Arabidopsis thaliana: one gene and its partner. The protein of the gene in region 1 purifies or fractionates together with the protein of each later gene. This does not show direct contact. Each region holds a gene or a part of one and is shown in the gene's direction. Other genes may lie near its edges. The genes, in order: AT4G36080 and AT3G49830.

What was found.
Region 2: the proteins of AT4G36080 (region 1) and AT3G49830 fractionate together in Arabidopsis thaliana (co-fractionation; one large-scale study listed by BioGRID). This does not show direct contact.

The regions. Positions count from the first base shown.
Region 1 is NC_003075.7:17,069,516-17,086,347, reverse strand, and holds the start of AT4G36080 (phosphotransferases/inositol or phosphatidylinositol kinase), read left to right. Parts: upstream 1-8,308; 5' UTR 8,309-8,719; coding exon 8,720-8,777; intron 8,778-8,983; coding exon 8,984-9,699; intron 9,700-9,845; coding exon 9,846-9,971; intron 9,972-10,071; coding exon 10,072-10,157; intron 10,158-10,331; coding exon 10,332-10,440; intron 10,441-10,933; coding exon 10,934-11,029; intron 11,030-11,159; coding exon 11,160-11,222; intron 11,223-11,306; coding exon 11,307-11,366; intron 11,367-11,618; coding exon 11,619-11,684; intron 11,685-11,963; coding exon 11,964-12,045; intron 12,046-12,145; coding exon 12,146-12,270; intron 12,271-12,350; coding exon 12,351-13,583; intron 13,584-14,199; coding exon 14,200-15,189; intron 15,190-15,268; coding exon 15,269-15,604; intron 15,605-15,780; coding exon 15,781-16,039; intron 16,040-16,125; coding exon 16,126-16,348; intron 16,349-16,455; coding exon 16,456-16,832. Other genes in the region: AT4G36105 (polyamine-modulated factor 1-binding protein), read right to left, coding at 1,397-1,571, 1,716-1,733, 1,821-2,383; AT4G36100 (Sec1/munc18-like (SM) proteins superfamily), read right to left, coding at 3,005-3,397, 3,452-3,769; AT4G36090 (oxidoreductase, 2OG-Fe(II) oxygenase family protein), read left to right, coding at 5,678-5,840, 6,122-6,715, 6,820-6,905, 6,992-7,302, 7,399-7,470, 7,636-7,972.
Region 2 is NC_003074.8:18,472,914-18,489,040, forward strand, and holds AT3G49830 (P-loop containing nucleoside triphosphate hydrolases superfamily protein), read left to right. Parts: upstream 1-9,335; 5' UTR 9,336-9,469; coding exon 9,470-10,221; intron 10,222-10,357; coding exon 10,358-11,027; 3' UTR 11,028-11,067; downstream 11,068-16,127. Other genes in the region: AT3G49800 (BSD domain-containing protein), read right to left, coding at 175-763; AT3G49810 (ARM repeat superfamily protein), read right to left, coding at 2,023-3,369; AT3G49820 (uncharacterized protein), read left to right, coding at 8,324-8,809; AT3G49840 (transmembrane protein (DUF2215)), read left to right, coding at 11,638-11,749, 11,914-12,127, 12,209-12,375, 12,446-12,591, 12,671-12,733, 12,805-12,897, 12,984-13,145, 13,241-13,421 and 1 more; WIH3 (cysteine-rich TM module stress tolerance protein), read left to right, coding at 14,426-14,474, 14,553-14,832, 15,007-15,052.

The DNA.
Region 1 (16,832 bases):
GACAGCTCCTAACGACAAAAATACATAAAAGAATATAAAGAGTAGTTTTCCTTATTTTTTTTAGAATTTCAGTTTCCACTCCAATACCAAAAAATGGACAGCTCATAACAAACAAAATGCATAAAATATATCAGAAATAATATTTTATTGTAAGGGAGTTTTTCCAAAAAAATTCCTACAAATTCAGTTTCCAATCCAATACCTTTAAAAGGGACAGCTTTAAAAGATAAAATCTTTTTTTAAAATACATAATATACATGTGCATAATACCTCAACCACCGATACAAGAAATAAACTTGAGAAAATAAGATAATTAAATGTTAAACAAATATATAAATGTCTGCTAAATCCACAGAAGAAGAACTAAAGAGAGAGTTACAAAAGAGTTGCTCATATCCCTAAACTCTGTAGGATCCATGTCTGCAAAAAAATGACTATTCCATGTGGCAACAACAACTCAGCACCACAAGCTGACAAAGATTCCTCCAATGAAATCTGAGCCACAAAATTTGATTTTGGATAACTTATGATGAGAGAAGTTTTGCTCTCCCACCACCATGTTCTAAGGCCACCAGAGTAAAGCATTGTCTTCTGTCTTTCAACTGATTAATACTCTTTGCAGTTTTTATGTGAGTTTTTGGCAAAGCAAAGAAGACACTCTCTGATAACTGTCAGTGTCGCAATCTGTATTCTAGTTCCCCCATTTGTAGGAGAAGTGTATGTGTTTTCTCTTCCAGATTTAGAGAGACTAAAGAAGTCATTTCAAGGTGTTTCTTGTTTGTAAATGCTTAATATCTGTGGATACTCATGTTCTGTGAATGAAAATGACCATAGGAGAGAAATGATTTATAACATATAGTACACATGAGGCAATACCTGTCGATGTGAGTGTGACCATGGTGGAAGAATTTAATCCTCTCTGCTTGTTTTTTCCACTGATTGATTAGAGACGACCAATAGATAGTTGGTTTTAATAATTTGTCCCCCAAAAGAGAAGAAGAAGAAGATATACACAACTTCTTTCAAAATACCAAGTCAGAAACATATTCTTGAATCATGATCTTCTTTCAACCTCCAAAATTGAATTATGTGATCTTGAAACTTGATCCTTGTCTAAACCAAATGAAATATTTATGCTTTGCAAAATCTTACTCATATCATATGTTTAGTGTCATGATAATGTTTTCAGAAAATTAGCAAGTGAGCAGGGACAAGGAGTTTAACAAGTGAGCAGATCAACTATGCTTGCTTTATTCAAAGCCATGTTCTACAGATAGTTTACCAGAATTTTCAAATCTTAAAAAAAACAGAAAAGAATCCGATAGAAAAATGCTATGTCGTCCAAGGATTACACCTAGAATATCTTCTCTTTTGCCAAGAGATGAAAGATTCAGAATCAGATGTTTGAAGCATTCAGAGCCATGACTTTGCATTGTTCATTTAAGGCCAGAAGCTGAGCTTCTTTCTTATCAAGAAGAGTGGTCAGCTTCATGTTCTCCTCCATCAGCTTTTGCACTTGTACCTCTTTCTGCGCTTTCTCGCCTTCCAATTGTGTCGACTTAGCAACCAACCTGCTTCCACCGTAATAAACATATGACAATAGCTTCAGTAACATTGAAATACATAGCAATTGTTAATAAATTCTATAACTCGTCAGCTGCTTGTACTATATATTGATTTTTCTGCTCTTCACGCTATCATAGACATTGCTTTACATACTTTGTAGTTTGTACCTTTCCAAAAGGAACATCACATATATACATGTCTTATCATTTACATAAAACAGCTAACAAGTTGCAAATAAAAGAGATGAGACTGACCGGGCTTCAATGGTTTGGAAGTGCCGTCTGGAGGAAGAAAGAAGTGTATCTAAAACATTGTTGGAAGCAGTGAGGGCATTTTTAAGCGACTCACACTCTGTCATTACAATCCGTTCCGTCTGTTCTAATCTCAAGGACAGATTCTGGATTTGGACTGTCTTCCTTGTAATTTCTTCCTCACATATAATCACCTTCTCCTTATGAGAACACGTTTCAGATTCTGCCGCTGTGACCCTCCTCAAAAGAGACTCCAGCGCATCAGTAATAACCATTTCTATGGATTGGAGCGTATTCAAAGTATAGACTCCATCCTCTATAACCAAGGAATCCTTGTTCTTGTTGGTTCCAGCCAATGTAGTATCATCTTTAAGTTGTAGCTGTTGAGCACCGAGTGACAGACCAGGAACGGCCAAGATTCTAGCTTTTGATCTCAAATAGCTCAAGCTTGTTGCAGCTGATTTGACCCTATCTAACAAAACCTTTAATTCCTTTCTTGCGTCTTCCTCTGAACAGTCATGGGACATCTTGACACCTTCAGGTTCAGCCATGCTAGTACCAGCCATTTGTCCACAACTTAATAAAAGAAGAAGCTTTCTTTCTGCAAATCTGCAATCATTTAAAAAAGAAGCTTAGAATCCAAAGTAAATCCAAAACGCAATCTTTAGTCTAGTTAACGGCGGAACCAACTTCGTTGACCTAGAAATTAATTATTCGGAAATCAAAAGTTCTGCTTAACTTTTTTATTTTTTAAGCAACAAACTCACTTCAAAATAAAATTAATATAAATTTATTTTGGTTATGGATATATTAAATAAAAGCATATACAGTACTAGTATTGTGTAAATCAAATTAAGTCTTTAAACATTACCAAAATAAATAATTAAAGTTTTGGATGGTCAAGAATTCACCGAACCACCTAGTCCCACCTTGTGTCCCAACACAGCTAGCTTCCATTAAGGATTTCTGTGGCTCCATAGATAATGTTCTCAACTGTCTCTTGACGCTGTGTGAGCTCCTGCCAACTTTTATTTTCTACGTAGTTTCCTCCACCGACCATGAAAACTATCGCTTCTCTAAACGGTCCCTTCACATGGCTACTACTACTAGAGCCTGACTTTGAAGCTCTCGGGTCCAGTATTAGGTATGACTCTGTTTCCAGGTTCGGTTTTCCTTCAGTTAAGGCTTCAACACTCAACAGCCCTTGCCACCGCTAGTTTCTCATCACTGGATAAGAGATTCTTGACTCCCGCGCGGTCACCACGTTTATAGACTGGCCATAGAGCAATATGACTTTTGCTGGCTGAGTTTGCTGCTAAAGAAACGTTCAGCGATTTGATCTTTTTCACATACTGAAACGTGCTTGTATCTATCTTAGCTTCACGCAATGCTGCTTCCACAGCTTCAACTTCGGTTTGGTTAACGCTTTCTAAGGAAATTAAGTACATGATTGCAAACCGTAACTTGTCTATATTAGTACCTTTCGCCTTCAAAACAGATAGAAGCTCGGTTCTGTTGATGCTGCCTATCATCATCATCATCTCCTTCTCTTTCTCATCGTATGCATCCAAAGATTGCTCCTTGATATGTGATTATCATCCAATAATTAAGTGTTGCCAATACACAGAACAAACCATTAGCGACCTTTTCACCATGACCTCATAAGTCTTCAACAAACTCTGCTGCTCTTGAATCTCTGCAGCTAAACGAGAGTCTTGTGGAGAGACACATACAGGCTTGGGGTTATTCTCTCTGTAAAAATGCTTCATTTCGGAAAGATTCTTGAGTTCAGAAATGACAACTTTGTCCGCTGCCTGAATCTTCTCGGGATCGTAAGGAGTATGAGCACTTTGAAGCTCGATATAAGCAGATTTCAAGGACGAGATGTTTCCAAAGAGATTGGAGATAAGTGCTTCCATAGCTTCAGGATTTTGATTGATAGACTCTTCCATTGGTTGAGGATGGATTATGTATGTGTTTCATGTTTGGATCATAAAAATATAAGAGACAGTGAAATCAGCACTATGCATGTCACCAACAGAAAGTAAATAAGAGTATCAAATACTATAACAAGTACCTACAAATTTGCAAAAGAACGATCCAACTTGCAAAAAAGGTTCTTAAATTCGAAAAACTATTGTCGCTTGGGGGAAAACAATGATAACCAAGAACTCACAGTCCCTAAAGTCAGCAAAGCTTTATTTATATAAGACCTTTCCTTGCGCCTTAAACCACTGGTTTCAGCCTTTGAGCTCTCAGAACCTGTCAGGTCAATGAGGTTCTGCAGATATATGTGAAAGTGAAATTATGGTCAGTTGTTCATCTTTAAGTGTTCAGACAGTGCAATAATAAACAGTTTGTCAGAGTTAATGAAACAGTAAGCTATTACCGAACATAAAATCACTTGATAAAAAGAAAAGATGTTATAGCAGCTCCACTTTCATTATTGTCAACCAATGTATTGACCACGGGTGTCATAAGAGAAAAGTTCTACTAGGTTGCAAAGTGTGTAAAGCAGAGAACTAAGCTAAAGAATGCAACTATAAACTAACTACAGTAAAAGTAAAGGCTTTATATGGTCAACAGAACGACAGTAGCTACATGCATAATGTGAGTTTGATTTCCTGTCTGGGACCTCACTCAAGTATAAACCAATGTTAACAATCCACAGAACAAACATATCAAACAAAGTGATTGTGACAATTTCTTTGGAATGCAAAGCCTTAGGCGGTACCTTTCCTGTATAATGTAACTGTGGCTTGTTATGGCTATCCACAGATGTCTTTGGATAAAGTTTTGAAGACGACGTTGTTGAAGATACAGGGGAATCACAAAGGCTTTAACTTGCTTAATCCAGCATTTGTAGACTTTGATACTTGTTTAGATCCTATCACAAACGAAATTCCAACTTCCGGTGACTGAAAAAAAAGATGCAAGTACAAAACTTTATCAAATAATAAGAGCTAGCAACAAGTATACTATTGCACTTTTTTTGAGTTTTTAAGCCAATCAGAAGGCTCTATTTCGTACCCTTTCCAATTCATGACTTTTTTTATCGACGCACATCTCTCCAAATTCTCCATCGCGTGACTCTTTTAGTTTTTTTCAACAAAACCAATGAAACCGAACCGAAATCAGTTTTAATTTCAAAACCAATGCATACCAAACCGAATCAGCAAATAGTGTGAATCAACAATTCTGGACAGAAATTTTCTCAACATCTCAACAACGGGAAAAAGAGAAAACACCACAACTCAAAATCACAAATCATAGAAAAATATCCAAAAAAATCACAGTAGCCTTTGATTAAACTTTCAAATTGCAAAAATCTCAGAATCAAAGCCAAGAAGAATCCTGAAGATTTCTACTTCCATGGCATCCAATAGTGGAAGAAGAACAATCTACTGCTTCAATTAAACATGAAAAACGACTCAAAGAGCTTAGCTTTACTAGTTTTAGTAAAATTTCTCGGCAACAAAGTCAAAACAGACATGAACGCATAAAAAAGATACTAAAACACATTGGAGGAGCTCTTCCTCACCACGAGCTTGTAGAGTGGAAGCTGTTGTATCACAAAACTACCCTTTTGTAAATATTTTCGTTTCCGGGTTAACGTAAACTTAAGTGGGCCTTTTGATTCATGGGCTTCACGGACCAGAACTTTTGTCGGCGTTTTGTAGTGGTAAATTCCAAAACTACCCTTTTGTAAATATTTATAAGCAAATCCGACCTAAATTTGTTATCAATGAAAGACGACTCAAAAGAGCAAAGTAAACGAACTCGAGAAAAGTTTGTTCGATCCGTACAAACTGAAACTAAAGTACGGAAACAGCGAGATTTGGTTTGTGCGATAGAAGATAATGGAACCAAATTATGAGGAAGATGTTTTTCTCGCCAAGTATCAATCATCCGAACTTAAGATTGCTTCTGAATTTCTTACGAATTGGTTGCCTTTCTTATCTAGAGATCTCTGCAACGACTGTGCTCATGTTCTCTCCGATCGAATCCGTTCTCTAGACCCAGGTTTGAATTCTTCTTCTCTGTTGAAAATTCTGATTCTTTTTTCATAATTCGATTAAAGAAACGGAGGAGAATTTTCGTTACTACTAATGTTGTGTGTTCTGTTTCGAAATTTTCTTCAGCTATTGAATTCAATTTAATGATTGGAGTTACAATAATTTCTAAACTAATTCATAGATTTGTGATGATTAGAGATATCGAATATTCTATGTAATCAAGCTATCTTCGTGAGATTTCTGTATTTGTTCTCTTACCTTATGTGTAATTGTGTTTCCTTATTACAGAGCATTGTAGTAATGGAGAAGTTAAAGCGGGTTCTGGTTCAATGGTGGATAACATGGAATCTGAAGAAGTTGATAACATGGAATCTGAAGAAGTTGATAACAAGATGGACAATATTTATGACGGGAAGTTGTGTGTTTCTCACTCATTAGATAGTTTGAAAGCTGGGGCTTTTGTATTTGGATCTTTGTCAGACAGTGTAAGTCATGCAATGCCATCATCTCAGTCAACTGTTTCTGAGGCGGCAAGTGCACAAATGTCTTGGGCTGATATGGGAGAAGAAGATGGGCTCGAGGAGGAAGACCAGAAAGAGAATGAATTAGGTTCACATGGAGTTGATGTGAGTCCTTCCGTTGGAGACTCGATGAAGACTCCTGAGAAGCGTAAATTGTCTAGGGAAGAAAGAGAGCGTTATCGGTTTATGAATGTGAAGAAAATGAAAGTGTTTTCTTGTTATGAGAAAGTTAGAGGGAGGTCTGTTAATATTCTCGAAGGACTTGAATTGCATACCGGTGTTTTTAGCGCGGTGGAGCAGAAAAAGATTGTTGATTTTGTCTATGAACTACAAGAGAAAGGCCGTAGAGGAGAATTGCGAGGTTTGCTTCTGGTTTTCTTTCATTGCTTTTTGCATAATGTGAATTTGAAAACTCTAAACGGTACTTATCTAATCTTGAATTTTTGGTTCTTTTTCGATATCTAGAGCGTACTTTTACCGCTCCGCATAAGTGGATGAGAGGCAAAGGACGAGTTACTATTCAATTCGGATGTTGTTATAACTATGCACCGGTAAGTGACTCTTTCCTCATCTTTAAAAATGAAAACATTTTATCAACTATAGTGAATATGGAAAGAGTTTTTTGTTTTTTGGATAGGACAAAGCGGGAAACCCACCCGGAATCCTTCAACGTGGAGATGTTGATCCAATGCCATCTATTTTCAAAGTAATAATCAAAAGGTTGGTTGGGTGGCATGTACTTCCTCCAACTTGTGTACCGGATAGTTGTATCGTCAATATCTATGAGGAAGACGATTGCATACCTCCTCACATCGATAACCATGACTTCCTCCGCCCTTTCTGCACAGTATCATTCCTCAGTGAATGCAATATACTCTTTGGTTCAAATCTCAAAGTCTTAGGACCTGGTGAATTCTCCGGTTCTTACTCTATACCGCTTCCTGTCGGGTAAATCACTAAAGTTTGCGTACCCTCTCTGAGTTTATTCTACTGAAGCTTCTGTTGCTTAACTTTTTGACGAGTTTTTCACTTTTTTTGCTTCAGATCAGTTCTAGTGCTCAAGGGTAATGGAGCTGATGTCGCTAAGCATTGTGTACCTGCCGTTCCCACAAAGAGGTAATTTGTTAGCACCTTGATTGTTTGTCAACGTTTATTTATATGTTTGGTAATGAAACCATTACTCTCTCTTTTTACAAAAGGATTTGGTGTTTTGCAATTTATCGGTGTTATCTCGTTTTGTTTTGTTCATACTGTTTTTGCTATCGTCGGTTCTGCTTTCAGGATATCGATCACGTTTAGGAAAATGGACGAGTCGAAAAGACCAGTCGGATTCACCCCGGAACCTGATTTGGAGGAGATTAAGCCGTTGCCATACGAACACACCACGCCGAGTACTCCTGCTGATGCAGTCATTAGCTCTTCAAGATCCAGCATTGATCAAAATGGTAGTAATCACAACAATCGAACTGCACATGGAGGAGGAAGCAAGTATCGTAGGTCGAGAGATTATCATTCTGAGAGTCGAGAGCGGTCATCATCGGGCCAACGAAGAGAAACTTCACGACATACTCCTAATAGGTCCTATAGACCCAAGGTTACTAGCTCCGACAACGTCTGAGAATTTGTAACACGAACATAATATTTGATTTTACCACAGAACAAATTATAGAAATTGCTTCTAATAATTCTTTTCGTTTTGACCGAATTTTTTACGATAATTTCAACTATATGGTTGAATAGACGAAAATATCATCCAATTGGTTTCTTCTGAAAGAAAAAAAAAATGGCGTGAAAGATTTCTCTCTTTTTTTCTGTAAACTTTCATTCTCCGTGTAAAACTTGTTCGATGATTATAAAAAACGAACACAACTATATTATCAGTGTTAATTACATTTCCTTAACCATAAGATTTTGTTTTCTTCGCATTTCTGAAATTTGAGGGAACAATGGGGACTTTTTATATAAAAAAAGTTGGGACCTTTATATATAACTCGGCTGCTGAATTTCGTTTCGTTGCACTGCTACGCTCGAGTTCTCAAAGGTTCTCCTCGCTTTCTCTTTTCAGGGGAGTCTCGCAGAGAGACCCACACCAAAAAAAAAAATCGAGAGGGAAAATTCATCATCTTCCATCGTTAACCTCGAGGCTATTGGTGTTATACCAGATAACCGACTCTTATTAAATTAGCTTAATTTGATAAACCCTTGTTAGTGTCTGACCTAGTGGAGCACCTTGGGCTTAGCGTTAGGGATCGTCGCGGTTTGGGTTTTAGAAAGGAGGAGGAGGAAGCAACGTTTACTATTCCTACTATGTGACGGAACCCTAAGACAGCGTTTTCGCTTGTCTGGGTCAGCTTTTTTTATAGCCATGAGTCCAATTCAGAATTTTGAGCAACACTCTCGTCGTCTCGTGGAGCCTGACCTACGTAATACCACTCATTCTCTGCTCTTTCTCTTCATTTCGTCGTTGGGTTGTTTGTTTGTTGCTCAGAATTAGTTTCTTTGATTTTGGATTTGAAAATTTCTTCAAGCTTTGATTTTGTCTGAGGAATTTTTGTTTGATTTTGAGTCAGTTCAAGTTAATTTAAAAATGTAGCGACACTTACTCGAAGCTTGTTTTTGTGTTCTATAGCTATTGAGGAGAGGCTTGCGATGGTGGTGGAGGTCAGGGACAGTCTAGAGATCACACATACGGCTGAGTACTTGAATTTTCTGAAATGTTACTTCCGGGCATCTTCAGTGATTCTTCTTCAGATTACAAAGCCTCAATTTACTGATAATATTGAGCACAAACTACGCAACATTGTGGTTGAGATCCTCAATCGTCTACCACATAGCGAGGTTCTTCGTCCTTTTGTGCAAGACCTCTTGAAAGTTGCAATGCAGGTGCTCACGACAGATAATGAAGAAAATGGGTTAATATGCATTCGCATCATCTTTGATCTTCTTAGGAACTTTAGGCCAACATTAGAAAATGAGGTTCAACCATTCTTGGATTTTGTCTGCAAAATATACCAGAACTTCAGATTGACGGTTAGCCATTTTTTCGAGAATGTCAAAATGGAAGAAGTGAAACCTGTGGAGATACCTACACCATCTGATCAGTCGCTGTCCATTACTGCACCTTCCAGGAATGGGCAGATCAACCCAAGTACTCGTTCATTCAAAATAGTCACAGAGAGCCCCCTCGTCGTTATGTTTCTTTTTCAGCTGTATAGCAGACTTGTTCAGATTAATATTCCTAATTTGTTACCCCTGATGGTTGCTGCTATATCTATTCCTGGACCTGAGAAAGTTTCTTCACATATGAAGCCTCAGTTCATCGAACTGAAGGGTGCTCAGGTTAAGGTGAGACAATGGCTCTCTATCCAGAAGGAAACCATAACTTATTTGGGCAGTGAGAAAAATATTTAATTAAGGCCTACACTGCCTTGTTGTTTCACCTGAATTATTTTGTTTTTTAAGGGATATTGACTTGTAGTGTTTGTTTGCAGACCGTTTCCTTTTTGACTTATTTGTTAAAAAGTTGTGCCGAATATATCAAGCCGCATGAAGAAAGCATTTGTAAGAGCATTGTAAATTTGCTTGTCACCTGTTCGGATTCTGCATCTATCAGAAAGGTGGAGAACTGTCTGTTCCTTTTTCTTCTTTATGTTTTCACCTTGTAATACAGTCATGGGCTTGCAAGTAAAGAATATTTTTTTGGTCTATGAAATGCAGGAACTATTAGTCTCACTAAAGCATGTACTTGGGACGGATTTCAAGAGAGGTTTATTTCCTCTTATTGACACTCTTTTGGAAGAGAGGTATAATGTGCCTTTTTTGCCTTTCTGAATTCTTAAACTTGTACACCTGTCAGGAAGCTGTTTTGTTTTATCAAGTAGACCTTCTACTGTTCTGTATAATTTCACTGTGCCGCAGTATAATATATTAACAAATAATGACTTATGTCATCTATTTGCTATTTTTTTCTGTGTCAGGGTTCTAGTTGGAACGGGGCGAGCATGCTTTGAGTCTTTGAGACCTCTGGCTTACAGCCTACTGGCCGAGATTGTTCACCATGTTCGAGCAGATTTGTCCCTTTCTCAGGTGCTTCCCGTTGTGTCTGTGCAATTTATTTCTTACTTTACCTTATCTTTGTTTTTGTTTTTATTTGTTAGTCCTCTCTTCCTAGATTAGCTCTTCTTAGTTGAGAGAGTTAAGTTCTGGAAACTTTGCAAAACATTGGATTCTATAGTAGGTGAGACTAATGTGTTCCAGTACACACAGTTCTTGCTATGTATATGTGGTTGTGTATTAAAATAGATCCTCATCTTAACAGTCTTATCAATTGTGATCAGAAAGTGCTCACACTTGGGAAATATGTTCCTTGCTTATAGACTTGAAACCTAGGGCCTCCCAAAAAATTCTGACAGATCGAGATGCCAATAAACAACTAATCTTAGGAACAACATATTGGTCAATCTTTCTTGCCAACATCAATCAGGCTTCTCTCTTTTAGATCTTTTCCCATTCCATTGTCTACTCTATGGGTGATTTTTCTTTTACAATTCATCTTATTTGACTGTAAACAACGTGGCAGTTATCGCGGATCATCTACTTATTTTCAAGGAACATGCATGACTCGACCCTCTCTCTTAACATCCATACAACTTGTGCGCGTCTGATGTTAAATCTGGTAAACCTATTTTTTTCATCTAGTTTGCCTTATTTAAATTCGATATATTACTTAACATTTATGTGACATAATCTCTCCATTATGTTTGAATCAAGATTTTAGTATAACTTAATACTTATATTGGGTTCAGGTAGAACCGATATTTGAGAAAGGCATTGATCAGCAGTCAATGGATGAAGCGCGAATATTGTTGGTATAACTTTACACCTGAGAGCTCATATTAGAATCGGTTGGCTGCTCTAATCATTAACTTACTTTACTCATCATCTGTTTATAGGGACGTATCTTGGATGCCTTTGTTGGGAAATTCAATACCTTCAAGCGTACTGTTCCTCAGGTAATTCTGGTGGCTTTCCAAGTTTCCATGTTGTTTCAGCTTTTTAGCGTTGTTGTTTATTGTCTTTGTATAGGTTTTGCTTGATATGCCAGTTTTTATATTTTATGTCTAGCTGTAACAGATTACATGGTTTTGTTGAGAAATCTTGAACTTTTGTTGCAAAAAAAGAGAAATCTTGAACTTTTATCGATTCTGATTGGCAACTCTTTTATTTCAATGATGTGTTACTTAGTCTTGCTTTCTCCTTCATAGCTTTTAGAGGAGGGTGACGGAAAGGATCAAATCACTTTGAGGTCGAAGCTTGAACTTCCTGTCCAGGTAATTATCTATGGTGGCTGTTTTGTCTTAGTAAGTACCCAAATTATCAGCCAATGGGGGATCGTGTTCCACACTTCCGCTGTTATGTCCAAACTTAGTAGTTCCATAGCGTTCTTTAATGTTCTTATGTCCTCTTATATAGAGGTCTACTTTCGTTTCTAAAGCCTGTTATTATTTCTACTGAAGCATTATTTTCTTTATTAATAATTCATTATATTTTACTTTGGATAGAAAGTATCTGGCAAAAAAATATTAATTACCAAACCATGCTGGTTGCAGGCAGTTTTGAATTTGCAGGTTCCTGCCGAACATTCCAAAGAAGTGAATGATTGTAAGAATCTGATCAAGACACTGGTGATGGGTATGGAATTTTGGCCATACTGACGTTTCACCTTAGTGGATCAGTTATACTTATTGATTATGTTTGTTTATGTTAAGCACTTTTCCTACTTTCTATTCAGGAATGAAGACAATCATATGGAGTATAACCCATGCACATTTGCCCCGACCTCAGGGAATGCACCCACAAGCTCTTGCGTCACAGTCATCTGTTACTCAGGTTTTTAAAGGAATGAGAGAAGATGAGGTATTGAATGTTAGATTGTTTAGTGTAGGCATTAATAATGTATGGCTGATAAACAACTAGTAATCTCTACTTTCAAGCAGGTATGGAAAGCCTCTGGTGTTTTAAAGAGCGGTGTCCATTGCCTAGCTCTCTTCAAAGATAAGGATGAGGAGAAGGAAATGCTAAATCTTTTCTCCCAAATTTTGGCTGTTATGGAACCTCGTGATCTAATGGATATGTTCTCTATATGTATGCCTGAACTTTTTGAGTGCATAATCGACAATACTCAACTGGTTCAAATATTTGCCACTCTTCTGCAAGCTCCCAAAGTATACAAGCCATTTGCAGATGTTCTGATTAATTTCTTGGTAAGCAGCAAGCTCGATGTTCTGAAGAATCCAGATTCAGCTGCAACTAAATTAATTCTGCATCTGTTCCGGTGCCTCTTTGGGGCTGTGTCAAAAGCACCATCTGATTTTGAACGGATATTGCAACCTCAAGTGCCTCTTATTATGGAAGTCTGCATGAAGAATGCTACTGAAGTTGAAAAGCCTCTTGGTTATATGCAATTGCTCCGAACTGTTTTCAGAGGACTTGCTGGATGTAAATTCGAGCTGCTTCTTAGGGATTTAGTCCCTATGCTGCTACCTTGTCTTAATATTCTTCTGACAATGCTCGAGGGTCCAGCCGGGGAAGACATGAGAGATCTTCTGTTGGAACTTTCTTTGACACTCCCTGCACGCTTAAGCTCCTTATTGCCTTACCTTCCCCGTCTCATGAGGCCTCTTGTATCCTGTTTGAGAGGAAGTGATGAACTTGTGAGCTTGGGGCTACGCACCCTTGAATTCTGGGTGGATAGTCTAAATCCTGATTTTTTGGAGCCAAGTATGGCAACTGTAATGTCTGAAGTGATCTTAGCATTATGGTCTCACTTGAAGCCGGTGCCATATCCTTGGGGTGGTAAAGCATTACAAATTGTGGGAAAGTTGGGTGGTCGCAACCGGCGATTTCTGAAAGAGCCACTTACACTTGAATGCAAAGATAATCCAGAACATGGGCTTCGCTTAGTTCTGACTTTTGAGCCGTCCACTCCATTTCTTGTGCCAATGGACAAATTCATTAATCTTGCTGTAGCAGCTGTTATGCAGAAAAACCTCACTACAGAGATATACTACAAAAAGCAAGCTCTAAAATTCCTCCGTGTTTGCTTGTTGTCTCAGCTTAATTTGCCTGGGTGTGTCACTGATGAGGGTCAGACGACCAAGCAATTATCAACTTTGTTACTTTCCTCTGTTGATTCATTTTGGCGCAGGAGTGAATCAACAGAAATAGAGGTTGGTTTTTGGAATTTCTCTTATAATCTTAATCCCTTTATAGTTTTACTCTGTAGCTTTCTGGTCAATGTCAAAGTTGCTACTCAGTTGGCTGACGTTTTCTTAAACCATTACCTTATCTCCATTATTCACAATGCTTCATAAATTAGGTTTTTGACATCACGTGATGTTGAAGACGGGGCTACCTGTTAGGCGATAGTTTCTTGATTGAACCACATTGACTGATTAGATTTTGTATTTGTTATCTTGTTGCCATGCGTTTGTATTTTTTAAAAGAAAAGGAGCTAGGACTGTTTCATGTCATTTCTTGTGAGTTGCCTATTTTTAACTTAAATCATTTGTGTAATGGTCTAATAGGATGTAAAGGATTTATTTATAGAGAGGATCTTTTTGCTGCTGATGGTTTCTTGATTGAACCACATTGACATGAGACATGATTCGATTTTGTATCTGTTATCCTGTTGCCATGTGTTTGTATTTTCTGAAAAAACGAGCTAGGACTGTGTCATGTCATTTCTTGTGAGCAAGTTATTTTTCTCCTTACATGATATGTGGTACGTGGTGTCATAGGATATAAAAGGATATATTTATTAAGAGGATCATTTTCCTGCTGCAGGCTGACTTAGGGGTTAAAACAAAGACGCAGTTAATCGCTGAGAAGTCGATCTTTAAGACACTATTGATAACTATAATTGCTGCCAGTTCTGATCCGGATCTCAGCGACTCCGATGATGACTTTGTTGTAAACATATGTCGGCATTTTGCAATTATTTTGCATGGGGACTATACTTCGTCGTATACTTCCACTAGTGCTGGTCCACTTGGGGGTTCTTTGATTTCAACAAGTTCCAAGCCCAAGAATAATTGGTCTACCTACTTAAAACAGCTGGATCCCTTAATATTTTTAGATGCTCTTGTTGATGTGCTTGCAGATGAAAACAGGCTCCATGCCAAAGCTGCTCTGACTTCGTTAAATGTGTTTGCTGAAACTCTGCTGTTCCTTGCTCGTATCAAACATGCTGATGTGCTGATGGCTAGGGGTGCTCACAGTGCATCTATGATTGTCTCCAGTCCTTCTACAAATCCGGTATATTCACCCCATCCAAGTGTGCGAATACCAGTGTTTGAACAACTTTTACCTCGGTTGTTGCATTGCTGTTATGGGAGCACATGGCAAGCGCAAATGGGAGGAGTAATGGGATTAGGTGCGCTGGTAGGGAAAGTGAATGTTGAAACATTATGTCTGTTTCAAGTAAAAATTGTACGTGGTCTGGTCTATGTCCAAAAGAGGCTTCCTGTTTATGCTAGCAAAGAGCAAGACGAGACAAGTCAGGTTCTTATACAGATTCTAAGAGTGGTTAATAATGTTGACGAAGCAAACAATGATGCGCGCAGACAAAGCTTTCAAGATGTGGTAGAATATCTTGCTACTGAATTGTTCAATTCTAATGCATCCATCACAGTGAGGAAAAATGTTCAGAACTGTCTTGCACTTTTGGCTAGCCGGACTGGTAGTGAAGTATCTGAACTGCTTGAGCCTTTATACCAGCCTTTGCTGCAGCCACTTATAATGCGTCCACTTCGATCAAAGACAATTGATCAACAGGTGCCTCATTCTGCTATTTTTTGGTTGTTGTAAATCCTTTCTGGACTTCTGTCTTACCTTCTTTAATATGGCCTTATAGGTTGGAACTGTGACAGCTCTGAATTTTTGTTTAGCACTGAGGCCCCCCCTTCTAAAGGTGACTCCAGAGTTGGTTAATTTCTTGCAAGAAGCGTTACAAATAGCTGAGGCTGATGAAGCTTTATGGGCTGTGAAGTTGATGAGTCCTAAAGTCCTTACATCATTGAACAGACTTCGAACAGCTTGTATTGAGATTCTGTGCACAACTATGGCTTGGGCTGACTTTCGAACTCAAAGTCACAATGAACTACGTGCGAAGATAATTTCCATGTTTTTCAAGTCCTTAACGTGTCGAGCACCAGAAATTGTGACCGTTGCCAAGGAGGGGTTAAGACAGGTTCGTAGTTATCTGTCTTTTGTTTCCAATTCTTGCACGCACATTTAATTTGAGGATTTTGAAGATAGACTTGATGGAATAGGTTTTCCTCTACCTAAAAGCCCTCTTCTCTTTCTGGGATAAATGATGTTATTTAATATACTATTTTGCTGTTCTGAAACTCTGTTTTTCTTTAGGTTATCAATCAACAACGGATGCCCAAAGAACTTCTTCAGAGTAGCCTCAGACCTATACTAGTTAATCTGGCACAGACAAAGAATCTCAATATGCCTTTACTCCAAGGTCTGGCACGTCTTCTTGAACTTCTATCAAATTGGTTTAATGTGACATTAGGATGTAAGTTGCTGGAGCACCTTAAAAAGTGGTTAGAGCCAGAGAAACTTGCACAGTCCCAGAAATCATGGAAAGCTGGTGAAGAGCCGAAAATTGCAGCTGGTAATCACGTTCTTGGAAATATATAAAAACAGATGCCTGGTCATGTGATTATATATTAACACATTTTTTTGTTCTTTCTGTGGCAGCTATTATCGAGCTCTTCCACTTACTTCCACTTGCTGCATCAAAATTTCTAGATGAACTTGTAACATTAACTATCGACTTAGAAGCAGCTCTTCCTCCAGGACAAGTGTACAGTGAAATTAACAGCCCATACCGTCTCCCGCTTACCAAGTTTTTGAATCGATATGCAACTCTAGCTGTCGATTATTTTCTTTCCAGATTAAGTGAACCAAAATATTTCCGAAGGTAAGAACAACATTGCATTAGAATTTTCTTTTTTCTTTCACATCTCATGTTAGGCTGAATGTGACCATGGGGTAATGAGTGTTTCCCTCTTTTCCGTATAATGTCAGGTTTATGTATATAATTCGATCAGATGCTGGCCAACCATTAAGGGAAGAACTTGCAAAATCTCCACACAAGATACTTTCATATGCCTTTCCTGAAATTTTGCCAAAATCTGATGCCATACTGAGTGCAGCAGCTTCAACTCCTCCAGCTGCATCATCTGGAGATGAAAAACCCACCCCTATGAAATCAGAAAGTTCTAACACGCCATCAACAAAATCAAATGTAGCATCAGATGCGTATTTTCAGGGTCTCTATCTTATCAAAACAATGGTGAAACTGATACCCAGCTGGCTGCAGAGCAACCGTACTATTTTTGATGCCTTGGCCCACCTTTGGAAATCACATGCAAGGACATCTCGTTTACAGAATGAGCAAAATT
Region 2 (16,127 bases), on another chromosome or scaffold:
GTTGTAAAATACCACTTAACAACAACACCTTCATATAAAACAAACCCTAAACTCTAAAGTGATCAGAAAAAACTCTCAAATACGGAATATCTAAGTCTAGACCATAGTAGATTCCCTCATCAACATAATCGATTACAAATTAGTGTCGAATCTGCTGCGAAATCGAAAACGTACCATCAAAGTTATCATCCTCGTCAGGAAAAGGAAAATCAAGCCAAGTCTCAGGATGCAGAGCAAGATCTCTAGCAAACAAAACTACTTCCTCCGTCACACCAATTGCATTTCCAATCGCAACATCACGGTTCTTCGAATCCACACCTTCCGATCCCAATTGCAAGAAATTCGAAGCCATATTTGTAAACTTCGATACCGGTAAGTTTCCAGAGAGTTTCGAGATCCCAGTCTTAAATCTACCTCCGATCTCAACGAAATCGTTCCTGATTCCAGCAATCAGATCCTCATCACCTTCCGCGAGATCCGATGACTTCCGAGTCTCCTCATCCACATGATCCGCCGTATCGGAAGAAGAAGGAGGTGGCGCGAGGAAAGAAGCAACGCCCCATAGCTGACTTCTTAAGGTCTTGGTGAGTTCAGAGATGTCTTCCTTCACGCCTCGTGGAGACTGTGTTTGCAACACCGATGGCGAAGACGGTTGATCTGAGCCGGAATTTTCAATCGAATTGGTCTTAATCGTTTCCTTTTGATCATATTCTTCCTCATCGATCTTCAGAGAATTCGCAATGGATCTAGCAAGCCATGCCATTTTTTTGGGGATCTCTCACAAGTCTCTCGAGTATCTCTCTCTTAATCCGCGACCTTTAACGAGACACCATTGACGCTAAATATTCAACCTTACGAAACGTCGTCGCTGGATTAGTTAATGAGCTACGTAAAAATAGCCCATAAGATTGAAAGTCCAGCCCATCTAGGGGCTAGGGTATGCGGGACACCATTCAATTTAAGAAACGTCGTTGTTTAATTATGCAAATGGGCTTAGTAGCTAAAGCCCATAAGGTACAATATCTAGCCCATCTATAGGTTTGGTTACTGTTATTCTCTGTTACAGAGTTTTATATGTCAAGACAAAAACTCTCACATCACACTGTGTTATACACAAACCCACTCAAAACAGAGATTTGCTCAGACTCATTTCCAAAAACAGGACAAGTAAAATAAGCCTATGTTTATTTTTGTGTTAAAAAACAGTAGAAATTGTTGAATGATTCACTTGTCAAATCTCACATTTCTTTTCAATTGTTCATTACAACAGTAGTAGTTCAGAACAATGTATGGAGACTTTTGGTCTCCACCACAACTTATGTGCTCTACTTATTAGACAAGAATCAAAATTCACATCATACTGTACTTTGAGATGTCACTCTATGCAATAACAGTGATTGATTTTTCAAGAATCACGTTTTTGATATTTACTTCGTTGAAGACAATAAGGAGGCTGAGAACAAAGATGAAATCATGACAATTGTCTAATTCCTAATCTAAGTAAAGCTAAAAGAAAACATTGAATGAAGAAAAAAAGATTCAAAAGCTTAAAAGAGGCTTCTACAAGTTCAGGGTCAAAGATTTTGCTTTTTTTTTTTTTTTTTTTTCTCTGTTGTGAATGGTCAAAAAGCAAAACAACCTCTCACAAGAACCCAAAGTAGAGAGGTTTAACTTAATATGGTTCCTTTCTTCAAATTCTTCTTTTTCTTTGTTCTTCTGAAATTGATTTGAGCCAGAGGCGGTAACTTTACACAGTTTTTTTCTAATTCCCAATGCTTATTGCAAAACGAACCAATATGGTAACATTACATACCGATCCCTCAACCACCCGGTTTCTTCGTCTTCCCCATGTTTCCATCAGCTGATTGCCTCTTCCTTTGAATTGTTACCACCAAAACCAATAGCTCAATCTTCAAACTCATCATCTATATATACATCAGGGCAAAGGCAGATTCGTAATGCAATGCACATTTACCGTTTCATGGATAACCCGCTGAATCCTGTGATCAATCAGTGCCAATGCTATTGGATTGTCCTTGTGAGTTTGCATTTGGAAATAAACATGGTGTCTGAATAATGTAGACTACAAAGCTTAAGTAGCTCTGCTGACCGCTGCTTCAACGCTGCATCACACCCGCTCTGGATCACGAGTAACAGCTTTGCAGCAAGACCAACCTCAACAGCAAGTGGTGAACATTCTTCTGGAGCTAATTTGCAGACAGACCAAAGAATCGACAGCGCGTAGTTAGTGCAATTCTCAGACACCCTCATCAGCACCCTAACTGTATAAGGTATTGTGTTTGCAGAGTCTTTGACAGCAACTCTTCCTTCCACGTCTGTACACAAAGCATCAAGAACAAACAGAGCTAACTCCAAACATTCCGGGTCTAAAGACGGTAAGATATCAACTAATTGAGGCACTGCTCCAATGCTAACCATCAAGCTTCGAACTTGTTTATGAACCGAAATCGGTTTAAGCAACCGAAGTGCAGGAGATACTCCATTTCTATGTCTCTTATCCTTAACCAATCTCATTAACCCAACAAGCAAACTATGACTTGAAACAAGCTCTGCTCTAAACCCTTTCTCTTCCACCAATCCTCTAATCAATCTAGCACAATTGATCTTAGTCTCATTAGATCCATCATTCAACATATCAACAATCAAAGAAACCTTAGCTGGTTGCATCAAGCCGGATTTCGAATCAGAATCAAGATCAAGACTCACAAGAATAGCAACAACCTCAGATCCAACAGCATGAGAAGTAAAAGGACCCAAAAGAGAAGAGATCACAGAGACACCACCTTCTTCAACAACAGTCTTCCTCGCCATAAGATGAGCAATAACAATCTGTTTAAGCTCACTCAAAGCATGAACCCTAGCTTGACCTTTAGCTTTCTTCAAAGTCCCCAAAATCTCAATAGCTCGTCCTTGAACATCCTCAGAACGTTTCTTCATCAACACATACTTCTGAGAGAACCAAGTATAGATCAAATGATGAAGAGTTTTATTAGGAGTTACCGTATCATCCCAAAGCTCTTGCATTGTAGTAGGACAAGTCAAGTGACCTAGGTTAAACCATTTGTGAATGTTTAACCTTTCATAGGTTTGACCAGTACACAAAGTCACAGGATCTTGCATCGGCTCTAAGGAGATAGGACAAATGAAAACAGAAGGTATATCTTGTAAATCTAGCTCCTTTATCATCTTCTTCAGATCCAATTTCTCATCAACAACTCCAACACCACCACCATTAACACCACCGAGAACTCCATCTTTCACTGCAGTATCCAGATCTAAGACTTGCCCATCACCACCACCTTCAAATCCTATTAACCCATCTCTCTTTAACGGCTGAAACATCGGCATTTCGATAGAATCTATAGAAACAAAAAAATCTCAATAAAAAAACAGACTTTTCTTCTCAAACTCACAACATTTGGGAAAATAATGTGAGCTGAAAAAGAAACGCATGTCTTTATCTCAGAAAGAAGCGTTAAAACAACAACAACAACACAATCTTCTTCTTCTTCTTTTTCCTCTTTGCTTTAATTTAGTTTTTCTCTTTTCAACGGTCAAAAAGAAGATTCATTCAACTCTTGTTAATAATATAACATCATAAACACATGATTGAAACCCAACTGCTCCCAAAAAAAATGTGAATTTTATAACCACAAATTTCGAGAAACAGAAAAAAGGAGGAATCATGAAGAATAATGAGAAGGAAACCAAAAAAAAATCAACGAACCCAGTACAAAGGTTTGAACTTTCAATACCAGAAAATCTCAAAAGATAAAAAAGGAAGAGAATTTGAGAAAACCCAGATGACGAAATCAAAAATAAATTCACGAATTCGTGAGAATGACGAAGAAGAAACCCGTACTCTCTCTTTTGTTTGTTTGTTTCTCTCTTACCTTCTTCTGAGGTAGTGTGAGTGATTGTTTTGTTTTTGTTTCTTTGAGAGGAAAAAAAAATGGGGTGAATAAAATAAAAAGGAGAAAAAAGGGGAGAGATTAAAGATTTGTTGAAAGATTCGGGTGGAAAATCTAAAAAAATTAAAGATAAGGTGACCGGTGAATTCACTGGTTATAGCCGGTCATTTAGTCCTCTCGACTCGCGTACCACACGTGCAAGCTACACCACATGTGACATGCCCTCACCTCCCGGTTTTATTATAATACAACTCTCTTTTTTAATTACCATTGAAAAACTCAGCTTAATAATTTTGATTTCCAATTTTGTCCCTACCTTTTATAGTTTTAAAACGTAATTAATTAGGCAACCAAGAAAATTCTCCCAATAATAAAGAATTAGTAATTTTAAACACATTATTTCAGTCAAATTATACAGGAGATGTAATTGTTCCTTCCAATAAAGTGTGGAATAAACACTTTGGTATGTGAATGAATAGTTTTAGTTTTTTCTGATAATATTTTGGATTTAAAATTGGGAATATCCTTTAATTAGTCAAAAAAAGACAACAGTGAAATTCTAAATTTTCTTTTAGCTTTTTTTTTCTTAATATCCACGCTAACTAAGGATAAATACTTTTCCCATTTATGTTAAAAAGATGTTTGTTAAGGTTAAGGATTTTGTTAAAAAAACAAAAAAAATGTTGAAGGATAAACAAAAATGAGGGTAAAGTGGTAAAAATGAAAGAGTAAAGAAAATCCGGCAACGTAGTCAAAAAAGCTGAGAAGTTTGCACTAAACTCCAAACACCCACGGGGAAGAGTAACCCGTACAGGTCGGGGCACGTGTGACGATAATTTCTATGTTTAATTTCTTAATTACTTTTTTAATTTCAATCTTATCATCGTTATTAATTCCAAAGGAACAACTCTTGATTTTTTGTTTGTTATACCAATACCTTCCTTCACCTCTTTTTAGTATATAAAAAAAATTAAAACTGAAAAAAAAAACCGAAACCGATTACCCGAACCGAAACCGACCCAAATAATTGGATCTAAAACCGAATCCGAATCGAAAGATTTATTATATTGAATTCTAAATTCCTAAACTAAAAAAATCGAATCCAACCACAATCCAAAAATACTCAAATATTTTTATTCGAAAATATAAATTTTACCTTAAACCCAAAATTTTATCCGAAAATTCAAGTATTTACCCGAATATATTCGAACCCAATTAAATCTAAACCTATATTTTAGATTTATTATATTAAATTCTAACCCAAACGGATATTTCCCTATAATATTACTTCAAAAAAAATTATAATAGCTATTAAAAAAGCTTATTGCCAAACAACTTTTTGAATCGATTTAATCTGCTGACGAATAAGAATTTTTATATAAAAACAACATTTAAAAATTGGTTAAATTGTTTCACATAATTGCAGTTTCAAAATAAAAAAGTTTTAAAAATAAATATTTTTTTGAGAAATATACTTTATAAATATCACACACTATTAGAAAAGAAAAAAAAAACAGAGAGGAGTGAGATGGGGACCACAAACAAAAGTGCCAGCTAGACATAATATTTGACCGTGACAGTGTCTTGCTTTGACTATAAGCGTCGATCGTCTCCGGGTCTAATCTCTTTGCCCCCTTTGACTGTTCCTTTTACCCAATCATATCCCACCACGTGTCCACATCTGCCTCTTCCCCACCCAACCTTCATTTGTTAATTAATTTGGTTTTCAAATTTTTCATATTTTTAACAAAACAAACTCTCTACCAAATCAAGATAATTTAATAATAAAACTTGGAAATTGATGGGAGTGGGGATAGAGAAAGAGATAGAGATCTGTAAGAGAGACCATGTGTTCTTTTTGTTGCAGTTGAGTACTGACCCATAACTGCAAAGTTTGCTGTCCAAACATATATTTTTATTTATTATTTCATTGAAAAATATATTGATTACTTATTACTGGACCCATTTTTGAAATGAAATTGCAGATTCAAATGAAATGATTTTCAGAGTTGTTGATAATGATAAAACCAAAAATTTTGTGTCTATGACGTTTTTTTTTTCTAGTCAAACTAAGATGATATACTAAAGTGGACCGGCAAGTGTTTAAATGTGATATGACTTGTTTTGTAATCAAGTTTTTTTAGCCTTTGGGATGATGGGAGATTGATAGTGATATTATAAAAATATAATAACAATAACTATATCAAAAAACAAAATTGATTTAACATATCATCTAAGTAGTAATACGGACCGAGTGCTAATGACTGGTGTGAGTGGTGGTGACTAGAGGTGGACCTACGAATAAAAGCGTAACCATTTCATGAAAACGAAGTGACGAAAATTCAACTACTGTGTGTCGTATTTTCGTTGTTGGGATCAACAGTTTTTAATACGTGTGTTGAATTTGTTCTTGTTTTATGTTTGTTGAGCTAGAAGGTTTCAAATTATGAAAGAATGAACTGACACTAACCAATTAAGTGGTGGTCTAGTGGTAGACGTCGACATTTCAAAAGAGGTAGGTATGATTTCTGATTCAAGTCTTGTTTGGGACAAGATGATTTACGCATGTCTGCATTGTATACTTACGTATAATATCAATCGCTGCAACATGTAATGGAGATCGAGACTACTAGCTCTTAATTTATGAGCTAAATATATAAAGAAACTGACTCTAATGACACTTAATCATGTAGATTCTTCGACTTGATGGGGATGAGTGGGCTCTAAAGACATGATGCACTGAGCAGTTCGTGATTTTGGAGAATGTGAGGAAAGGTAACTATAGGAATTGATCACTAATTCGATGGTATATCGGATTGGCAATGTAACACTCATAACTTTTGATGGTAGAGAGTTTGTGGATGTCAAATATCGTTCAACTATGAGAAATAACTTGACTTCTATAGTTCTATGAGAATACAGTGAAATAATGCCACTTTAGGTAATGAGGTTTTGTTGTGTCAATTTATAATGATGATGACTGCAACTAATACAATAGAAATACTCTTGTATCAACTTAAAATCGTTGCGGAAAAGGTTCAATTTGTGTCTAAACATATATGAGATCACATTGTTAATTGTATAGCAGATTCAAACATATGTTTTAAAGAAAATGAATTTACTGATATAGAAGGGACTAATAAAAGGCAAGAAAATTCGTAGGTCGATTATGGAAGATTAATGAAAAATAACAAACTAATTCAACAATAACATAGTTCTAATCAAATTGTTTTTTTCTTGCTTTGTCGTTATGACTTTATGCCATTTTATTCTACCATTTTTGTCTACGCTTTCGTCATTCTCGGTGTTACCAATCGAGCCCATGACATCGGTAAACATGAATACACTATAATGCATTGCCTACGCATATGTTTATCTTTAGTATTTTAGGCTTTAGCTCATTTATTTTAACGTTAAAGAAGTGTGAAACAATCTTTTAATAAATGCAAAAGTAGAAGCACGAAGGAATAAAAAAGGTATATACCGCATTCCTACGCGTATTCTATATGTTTGATTTTCTAGCCATTTTAGCTTTGGACTGTCACGTGAGTCGTGACGCTCTACCCCCTAAATCTATGTCTATAGTAGTATGTACATATCAGACACATGCATGAGGCACCTATATATTTGTAAATAAATTATACACTATATGACGTATGGATTCAATGATACCAAGAGTTTTTGCTTGTAACGCCCAAGATTTTCGAAACCTACAATCTAGGATCTAAATAGTGTACCTCCAGTTATAAATTATATTTGTCGCTCTAGATAAGTTAGAGTAATGGCCAAATCTCGATAACAATTTATTTGTGATCTCCTCACATGAATTTCTTTGGAACCAAATTAATCCCAAACGATAGGATTCAATAATCAGTTAAAGTTTTGTAGTATTCGATAGTGGGTTAGAGTAATGTAGTGATGCAAACAAGAGTGCTAATCTATTGGGTCTATACATTGGATCAAATTTAATATATGGGCCGAACTATCATACCAAGCGTCATGCTTTGAAGAAAGTAGTTGAACCAAGCCATTATACCCTTTTAACTACTAACTAACCCATCTCAAATATCCAGATTTAAATTGGTGTCCATATTATATGAAATAAGTTAAGACTGATTTGCCAACAAGGCAACAACACCTTAATAAATTTAAACATCTAACTGAAAGAAATGTATTTAATCATCCAACTAGGTACATTTAAGAATAGATCACATTCATAATTTTGTTATTATCATTTACAACAGTCATCATGGATTTGTCTTCTCTTTGATCCTGTCTTAGTGTCTTGAAATCTTTGAGCATTTCTTCTTCTTCGTCTCTTATAATATATTTAAAAGGTTATATATTTACATATATACAACTTTGATTTCGATACTCTTGAGAATCCAATAATGAAAGCGAAAGTCATAGAGAAAGAGAACTGCTTCGTATGGTTGGTTAAGGCTCCTTTTCGTCTGTTGATCATGGCACGTGACGCCTACATACGAAGCATTACGTCATGCTCCGGCGCCGGAATTTATTCCGGTGGTGGATCATCTGGTTTTGGTCAACTCTCCGGAAACTTCCAAATCTGCGATCCGCCTAGCACCGCCCTTCCTCGAAGCTTTACCTTGACGTCGGCGGCACATGATCAAGGCTGTCTGACACGTGGCGGACAACCTACGATTGCAATGAGACAATCATTGTCCTTGGATCATCGGAAGAACAATAGATGCGTTGTTGTGATGGGAAGAATAGATGAGGAGATGTCTTGTGATGATGATGATGAGTTTCAAGAAGAAGACTCTTTTCTTGATTATGGTAATTGCGAGATTCTTACAAAAGAAATAGAAAAACCATCTGTTGACCAAAAACATAAGCCTCTAGGACGATTTTGATTTTGATTTTTAGGTTTATTATTAGGTTGTTGCATTGTGCTTATTGAGAAATATGGATCAAACACTTGAAAAGAAAAATCATTTTGTATCATTTAATATTATTTCTTGTATTACTTATAATTGATGTTAAAAAAAATTACATACGATTCTAAAAGTGGTGATGCAAATAATTCACATTGTTTTGTTAACAACCAATGCAGTTCTACATGATTTTAATATCATGAGTAATTTCTAAAAACAAATTACAACAAAAATTAATTTCTTTTAACCACAATAACTTCACAAAATTACAAACATAAAATACAAATTCAAAACCACAAGCACAAAAAATAATAATTTAGAAAGTTTATCAATTACTATTTTTGCTGTAAGAAAAAAAGTTTCTCAATTTTATTTTTGTCTGCAATATCTTTACAGATTCCAAAACAAAACAAAAAAACTATCTTTTTATTTATATATATATATATATATATATATATATAAATGTAAACTTCCTCATAAGTAAATTAACAAGAATATATATCAAACAAAATCTTGTAATTTTTTAATATAAATAAAGCTAAACCTTTACGAAGAAGAAAGACTCTGGTGATTGATTCTCCAAAGTCTAAACCTAGTAAAAGCCAAGTCTCATTCCTCGGGTGAACTCAACAACCGACGATGGCAGAACTAAGGTTATCAGAAACTCGAGACTTAACTAGGATCGAAAGAATCGGAGCACACTCACACATACGAGGTTTAGGTCTCGACTCAGTACTCGAGCCACGAGCCGTATCCGAAGGAATGGTTGGTCAAATCAAAGCACGTAAAGCCGCCGGAGTAACCCTCGAGTTGATCAGAGACGGCAAAATCTCGGGTCGGGCTATACTTATAGCGGGTCAACCCGGAACGGGTAAAATCGCAATAGCAATGGGTATAGCAAAATCACTTGGACAAGAAACACCATTCACTATGATTGCAGGAAGTGAGATCTTTTCTTTAGAGATGTCAAAGACTGAAGCTTTAACTCAAGCTTTTCGTAAAGCTATTGGTGTTAGGATCAAAGAAGAGACTGACGTGATAGAAGGAGAAGTTGTGACGATTTCGATTGATAGACCTGCTTCTTCTGGTGGTTCTGTGAAGAAGACTGGGAAGATAACAATGAAGACGACTGATATGGAATCTAATTTTGATTTGGGATGGAAATTGATTGAGCCATTGGATAAGGAGAAAGTACAGAGTGGTGATGTTATTGTTTTGGATAGGTTTTGTGGGAAGATTACTAAGCTTGGAAGATCTTTTACGAGGTCTAGAGATTTTGATGTTATGGGTTCAAAGACTAAGTTTGTGCAGTGCCCTGAAGGTGAGCTTGAGAAGAGGAAGGAGGTTTTGCATTCTGTCACACTTCATGAGATTGATGTTATTAATAGCAGGTTTGTTTCTTGATCTTGTTCTGTATTTGTCAATTGCTTAGTTTTAGGTTTAGGTTAAAAAGATTGCTTCTTTTTCACGTATTGATGCTTTTTCAAGTTCTTATTTGGATTCTTGTTTTCTTTCTGTTGTTTGCAGGACTCAAGGGTATCTAGCCCTCTTCACAGGTGATACAGGCGAGATTCGTTCAGAAACCCGAGAGCAAAGCGATACTAAAGTGGCAGAGTGGAGAGAAGAAGGGAAAGCTGAAATAGTACCTGGTGTTCTCTTCATTGATGAAGTCCATATGCTTGATATCGAATGCTTCTCTTTCCTGAATAGAGCTCTCGAAAACGATATGTCACCAATCCTGGTCGTGGCTACAAACAGAGGAATGACAACAATCCGAGGAACAAACCAGATATCAGCACATGGGATCCCAATCGATTTTCTTGACCGTCTTCTTATTATCACAACACAGCCTTACACACAAGACGAGATCAGAAATATTTTAGAGATCCGTTGCCAAGAAGAGGATGTGGAGATGAACGAGGAAGCGAAACAGCTTCTGACTTTGATCGGATGTAATACCTCGCTTAGGTACGCGATTCATCTAATCAATGCAGCTGCCCTAGCTTGCCTGAAACGTAAAGGGAAAGTCGTAGAGATTCAGGACATTGAGAGAGTTTATAGATTGTTTTTAGACACCAAGAGATCGATGCAGTACTTGGTTGAGCATGAGAGCGAGTACTTGTTTAGCGTGCCTATAAAAAACACACAGGAGGCTACTGCAGGAGAAGAAACAGAACACGAGGCCATGGAAGTTTGAGAATTTTGTTTTATTGCTTTTTCAAGAACTTATTTTTTCACCCCATTTTGTCATGGACTCATGGGACATGGTTGAACAAAAGATGGAATTTTTCAAGTTTTCGAGTTCTCATTGAGAGATAGACAACGTTTTGTACTGTGTTTTTGACGGAGCGATAAGATGGTATGACAAAAAGGTAAGATTGTGGAGACGTTTGAAGGGTTAATTGGTAAGGCTACCTAAGTTCTCACCTAATGTTTGTATTCAATTGGCTGATTATGGTGGAAAGATGGCGGTTTTGTGGGTCGAACAATCTCCTTGTAGTAACAACGGCTATAAGAATAAGATTTGGTGCGCGGAGATTGCTCTTGAAAAACAAGAAAGTTGTGAAATTTGGGGAGAAGTTGAGTGGTTTGGTCATGTGCTTACAGTTCCTTCAACATGTTTTGTTGCCAAGGTTATTGCTGCTACTGTTTGATGATGAATGAATGTGTCACAAAGCTTAAATATGTTTTTTTTTGGTGTATGCAGATATGATGATGACATGGCTTAATTTTGTCTCTTTTATTTATGTGACTGCTTTTACTTTCGTACGATTTCTTCATCCAAAAAACAAAACCCAGAAAAATCGATGAGTGACTCATCATCAGTCATTGTCCGAAGCTCAAATTTCATTGTCGTGATTCTCTTCCTCAACCTCGTCACTTTCTTCTCCCTTGTCTCCTCCAATGAACTTGTCTTTGGTAAGTTTGTGTCGGAATTGAATTATACTTTTAGGGCTTTCTTCAATTCTTTATGGGACTCGAATTTTGTAGTTTAGAATCACCAAATTTCAAACCTTTTTTTACATAATTAAGACAATTGCGATGAATTATATAAAAAAAGATCCAATTTTGTTGTTTATTAGCAGCTGTGGGTGAAACTGGTTCACTACAAGTGACTCCAAGAACAGAGGTGATATATTCACCTGGTCTGAAACGAGGTATAACATCGATATGTGAGAGATTACATATCCATGGATTACAAAGAAGACTTGAGCACATTGATAGATATGCACATTCACTAAAGTTGACTCTTTTGAGTAATAATGCTTCCAACAGTATCGACGTTTGCTTCCACAGGTAAAATCTAGTATCTGTGTAATCTCTATGAATCAATCTAGTATCTGTGAAATCTTAAAGTTTACTTCTTTCTGATTATAGGAATTCGTCGCGTGCAATTGGAATGTGTCCTGATAATCAGTGGAAGAGAGTGTCCAAAGGGTTACCTTGGGTTGGGATAATGTCACCTTTTGACTATAAGATTCTTGATATAAGAACATTTGGTGGCTCATCTAATGTCAGCACCGTGGAGTTGGTTGCTAAACAAGGTAGAGTGCTTGTGTTGTTTTGTGTTTTGCAAAATTCTAAAACTAAACAAAGTAGAGTTTGTATTTGCAGAGTTTTTCATATACCGGATTGTGTTTTTAATCATGGGGATAGTGTTACTGAGTTTGGCTTCTAGACTTAGCAAATCAGTTGCGTTTTACTATATCGGTGCAATGTCTATTGGGATTGTCATTCTTGTAACTCTTATCATTAATCAGGTAAAAGTTTTCATAACGCTATCTTTTGTTATATGTTTCATGGTTTTTTCTCTGGTTAACGTGATAAACGGTTGTGCAGGGGATAAAGCGTCTACCAACTAGAGGGAAGAGTCGTTTTCAGTTATTTTTCTACTCGTCTATGGTGAGAGTTGTCTTCTCTTTGAGTTCTTTTGTCGAACATGTACTAACCAAAGCCTTCTTTTATATTCTCAGATTGGTGTGGGAGGTTACTTTCTTCAATACATACGCGGTTTAGTTCAAGATTTGCTAATGCAGATAGAAATCAGTGAAGATTTGTACATCCCTGTATGTAAGTTTTGGTACTTGTTGTTATGTCACATATTCATATTCTGGTTTGATTAATCTTAAACGGCTTATGTAAAATTTTGCAGCTGGCGATTCTTTTGGTTGTGTTTGTATTTATGTTGGGAGCGTGGTCAGGATTTTGGACTGTCAAGAAATTTGTTGTGACAAAAGATGGTTCTGTTGACATTAGTACATCAATCTTTGTCTCTTGGTCCATCCGAGCTTTTGCTGTGGCTCTGATCCTTCAGGTACTTCGTTTTTTCTCTGCTTTTGCTTCTGATTCATCTTTGATTATAACCAAACCTTTTGGTGATTGAAGTCTTGATCTTGTGTTAATTAACAGAGCTCTTTAGATCCATTACTTGCTGGAGGAGCGTTGATAACTGGAATTCTCATCTCATTGATTCTAAAGAGTATTAGCAGAAAGCTGTTAGCTCAAAGAATATATGAGCAAGATGATGAAACTGAGAGTTGTAGCCCCGGCTTGATCCATGCTACCTCGTTTGCTTCTCCTCTTCCTAGAGGTTTTGATTTTTTCTCTTTGTGTCTCTAGTGGTCTGATTTCTTTATACTAGTCCCTTTATCTCGTAATGTTGTTCTTGAAGAACCGGTTTTTCTTCTGTAAATGGTTTTTGCAGGTTCCAACAAGAAGTTGAGGACAGTACCATTATCTGAGTCAGATATCTTTCCTTCTTCATTCCACAAAACACCAGAAGGGAGAAGGAAGCTAACGAAGGAAGAGTTGCAAAAATTCACTAAAGAGAGCACGGAAAATGCATTGAAGGAATTGGTTTCTTCACCTGGTTTTGGCGAATGGGCGGTGAAAAATGCTAAAAGAATCACTGTAAATCCGATAAAGGAATCGTCAAGTAAATAGGGTGATACTGTTAAGCGCAGAAGAAGGTTCCTCTGGTTCTGAAAAGCAAGCAGCTAGGGGAACTTCTGAACCAGTCGGAGAGTGTAGTAGGTTGCTTGTGAACAAAGCAACAAGCCTTGCTTATATATAGTCTTCTGGAAAAGAACTAATGAGCAAGGCGAAAAAGTTGAGAGATTAACTTCTAAATCAACAAAATGTAACCTTTGACATAAATTGATATTGACCAATAAGATCATACGTTTCCATGTGTGTAGTCATCAATGATGTGAAACTCAATACTATAGTGTATTTTATTTGAATGGACGATGATAGTTGGTATAATAAAGGAGGAAATAAATAAAGTCATCTTTTTGTTATTTAACGGCTGAAATTTCAATAGCAATTTAATTTGAATGATTCCAGTTCCACAAATATGAGTTGGTCATCTATATCACATGTAAGTTTTCTTAGTTATATTTAAAAATCATTAAAATCTAAGAGTAGTCCTTGGAGAGAACATGTCTCTTGTCTCCTAAACCTCCTTTATTATCCATCATCATTGTCACTAACCCTATTATTATTCCATTCACAGCGAAGAAAAAGAAGCAAAGAGTTCGTTATAAAGAAAGAAATAAACCCTCAGATAAGAGCATAACAGAGAAGAAGAAGAAGATGTCTTATCAAGACCCACAACATCCCGTTAGTGCTCCTCCTCCTCAAGGTAATTCCCAATTTTTTCCAAGTTTTTAGGGTATTTTTGTTTCTTGTTTCTTAAGTTTCGATGTTGTTGTTTTGTCAGGGTATCCTCCTAAGGAAGGATATCCACCAGCAGGGTATCCTCCACCAGCAGGTTATCCTCCACCACAATATCCTCAAGCGGGATATCCTCCAGCAGGTTATCCTCCACCGCAGCAAGGATACGGTCAAGGATATCCAGCACAAGGCTATCCTCCACCGCAATATCCTCAAGGTCATCCACCACAATATCCTTATCAAGGTCCTCCACCACCGCATTATGGTCAGGCTCCACCGAAAAATAAGAAAGATAAGAAGGATTCAGGAGGCTTCATGGAAGGATGGTGCGTTGACCAATTATCTCTCTCTTTTTATATTAACATATAGTTTTGAATACTTGAAGCTGATGATATACCTTTTTTTGGTTCATTATTCATAAATTTTGGTATGGAGTAATATGGATATTCAAAGTCTATATGTTTGGTACTTATAAAATGTGTATTTGTTTTGTATTACAGTTTGGCTATGCTCTGCTGTTGCGTTCTCTTGGAAGCTTGCTTTTGATCGGAAGATGAGCTGATATTTGCCGTTGACCGTCTTGAGGATGCTATTCAATTTTGTCAAACATGTTAAAAAGACGTGTTTGATATACATTTTAGATCTCTTCTTCTGGTTATGTGTGTCCACGTTTTGGGTTTGTTTCTTTAATTTTCTTTAATTTTATGAATGAATCCGAATTTGACTTGAGGTCTTGTTTACTTTCATGACTATTGATTGATTCAGGGTATGTTACCCATCTTTTGTATATGTGTGTTTTATCTTTTGTATAAAAGCCATTCATTCTTTCCAACTAGAGGAACACAAAAAAAGAAAGCAACCCAATTTTGTTCTCTTTCTCATCAAAAATGTAAGAAGAAGTGACTGTATCAACGTGATCAAAACTTAGCATTACCATCAAACTTATATAAATTTATACTTACGGTCCGATATATTTCCATTTTCCGTCTCAAACATATATGTCACATCCACCATTCCTCGGTTGATCAACTATTCAATGTACAAATTTTTATAAAAATACTACTAAATCGTATATAATCTTGAGTCTTCACTTCTTATATTTAATGTAAGAGAGTGGTTTAGTATCCACCGATTAACTCGGTTCAAACCAAAAATACACCAAAATGATATGACTGAATTGTGAAATCAGTCCAAGAACTAAAAGTCGATGAGCTCGGCATCGACCTCCATGAAGATAAGGAAAGATTCACTCAAATCTTAAGAAATAATACGGTAAAGAATATTAGACATATTCCCATCCGAAAAATAAGAAGCTCGATGACCAAACAAAAAATCCGTAATTCTATTTTCGAAAACCCTAAATTTATTATATTACTAAAAAATCTCTTGTAATTGTCAAGTTTACTCTCAAAAATCATTTTTCTTGAATCTCTTGTTTACTCTAATTTCTACTTTGCTTTTACTCGCATTGTTAATTTAATTTCATAAATTAATCCCTAATAGATCAAATGGGTGTATTTTTGCAATTATAAAGTTTAAGACGAATTTGTAAAAATGAAGATAATAAAGGGCTCCCAGTAAAGCACCTCAAAATCGATACATACTTCATCCTCCAACATGC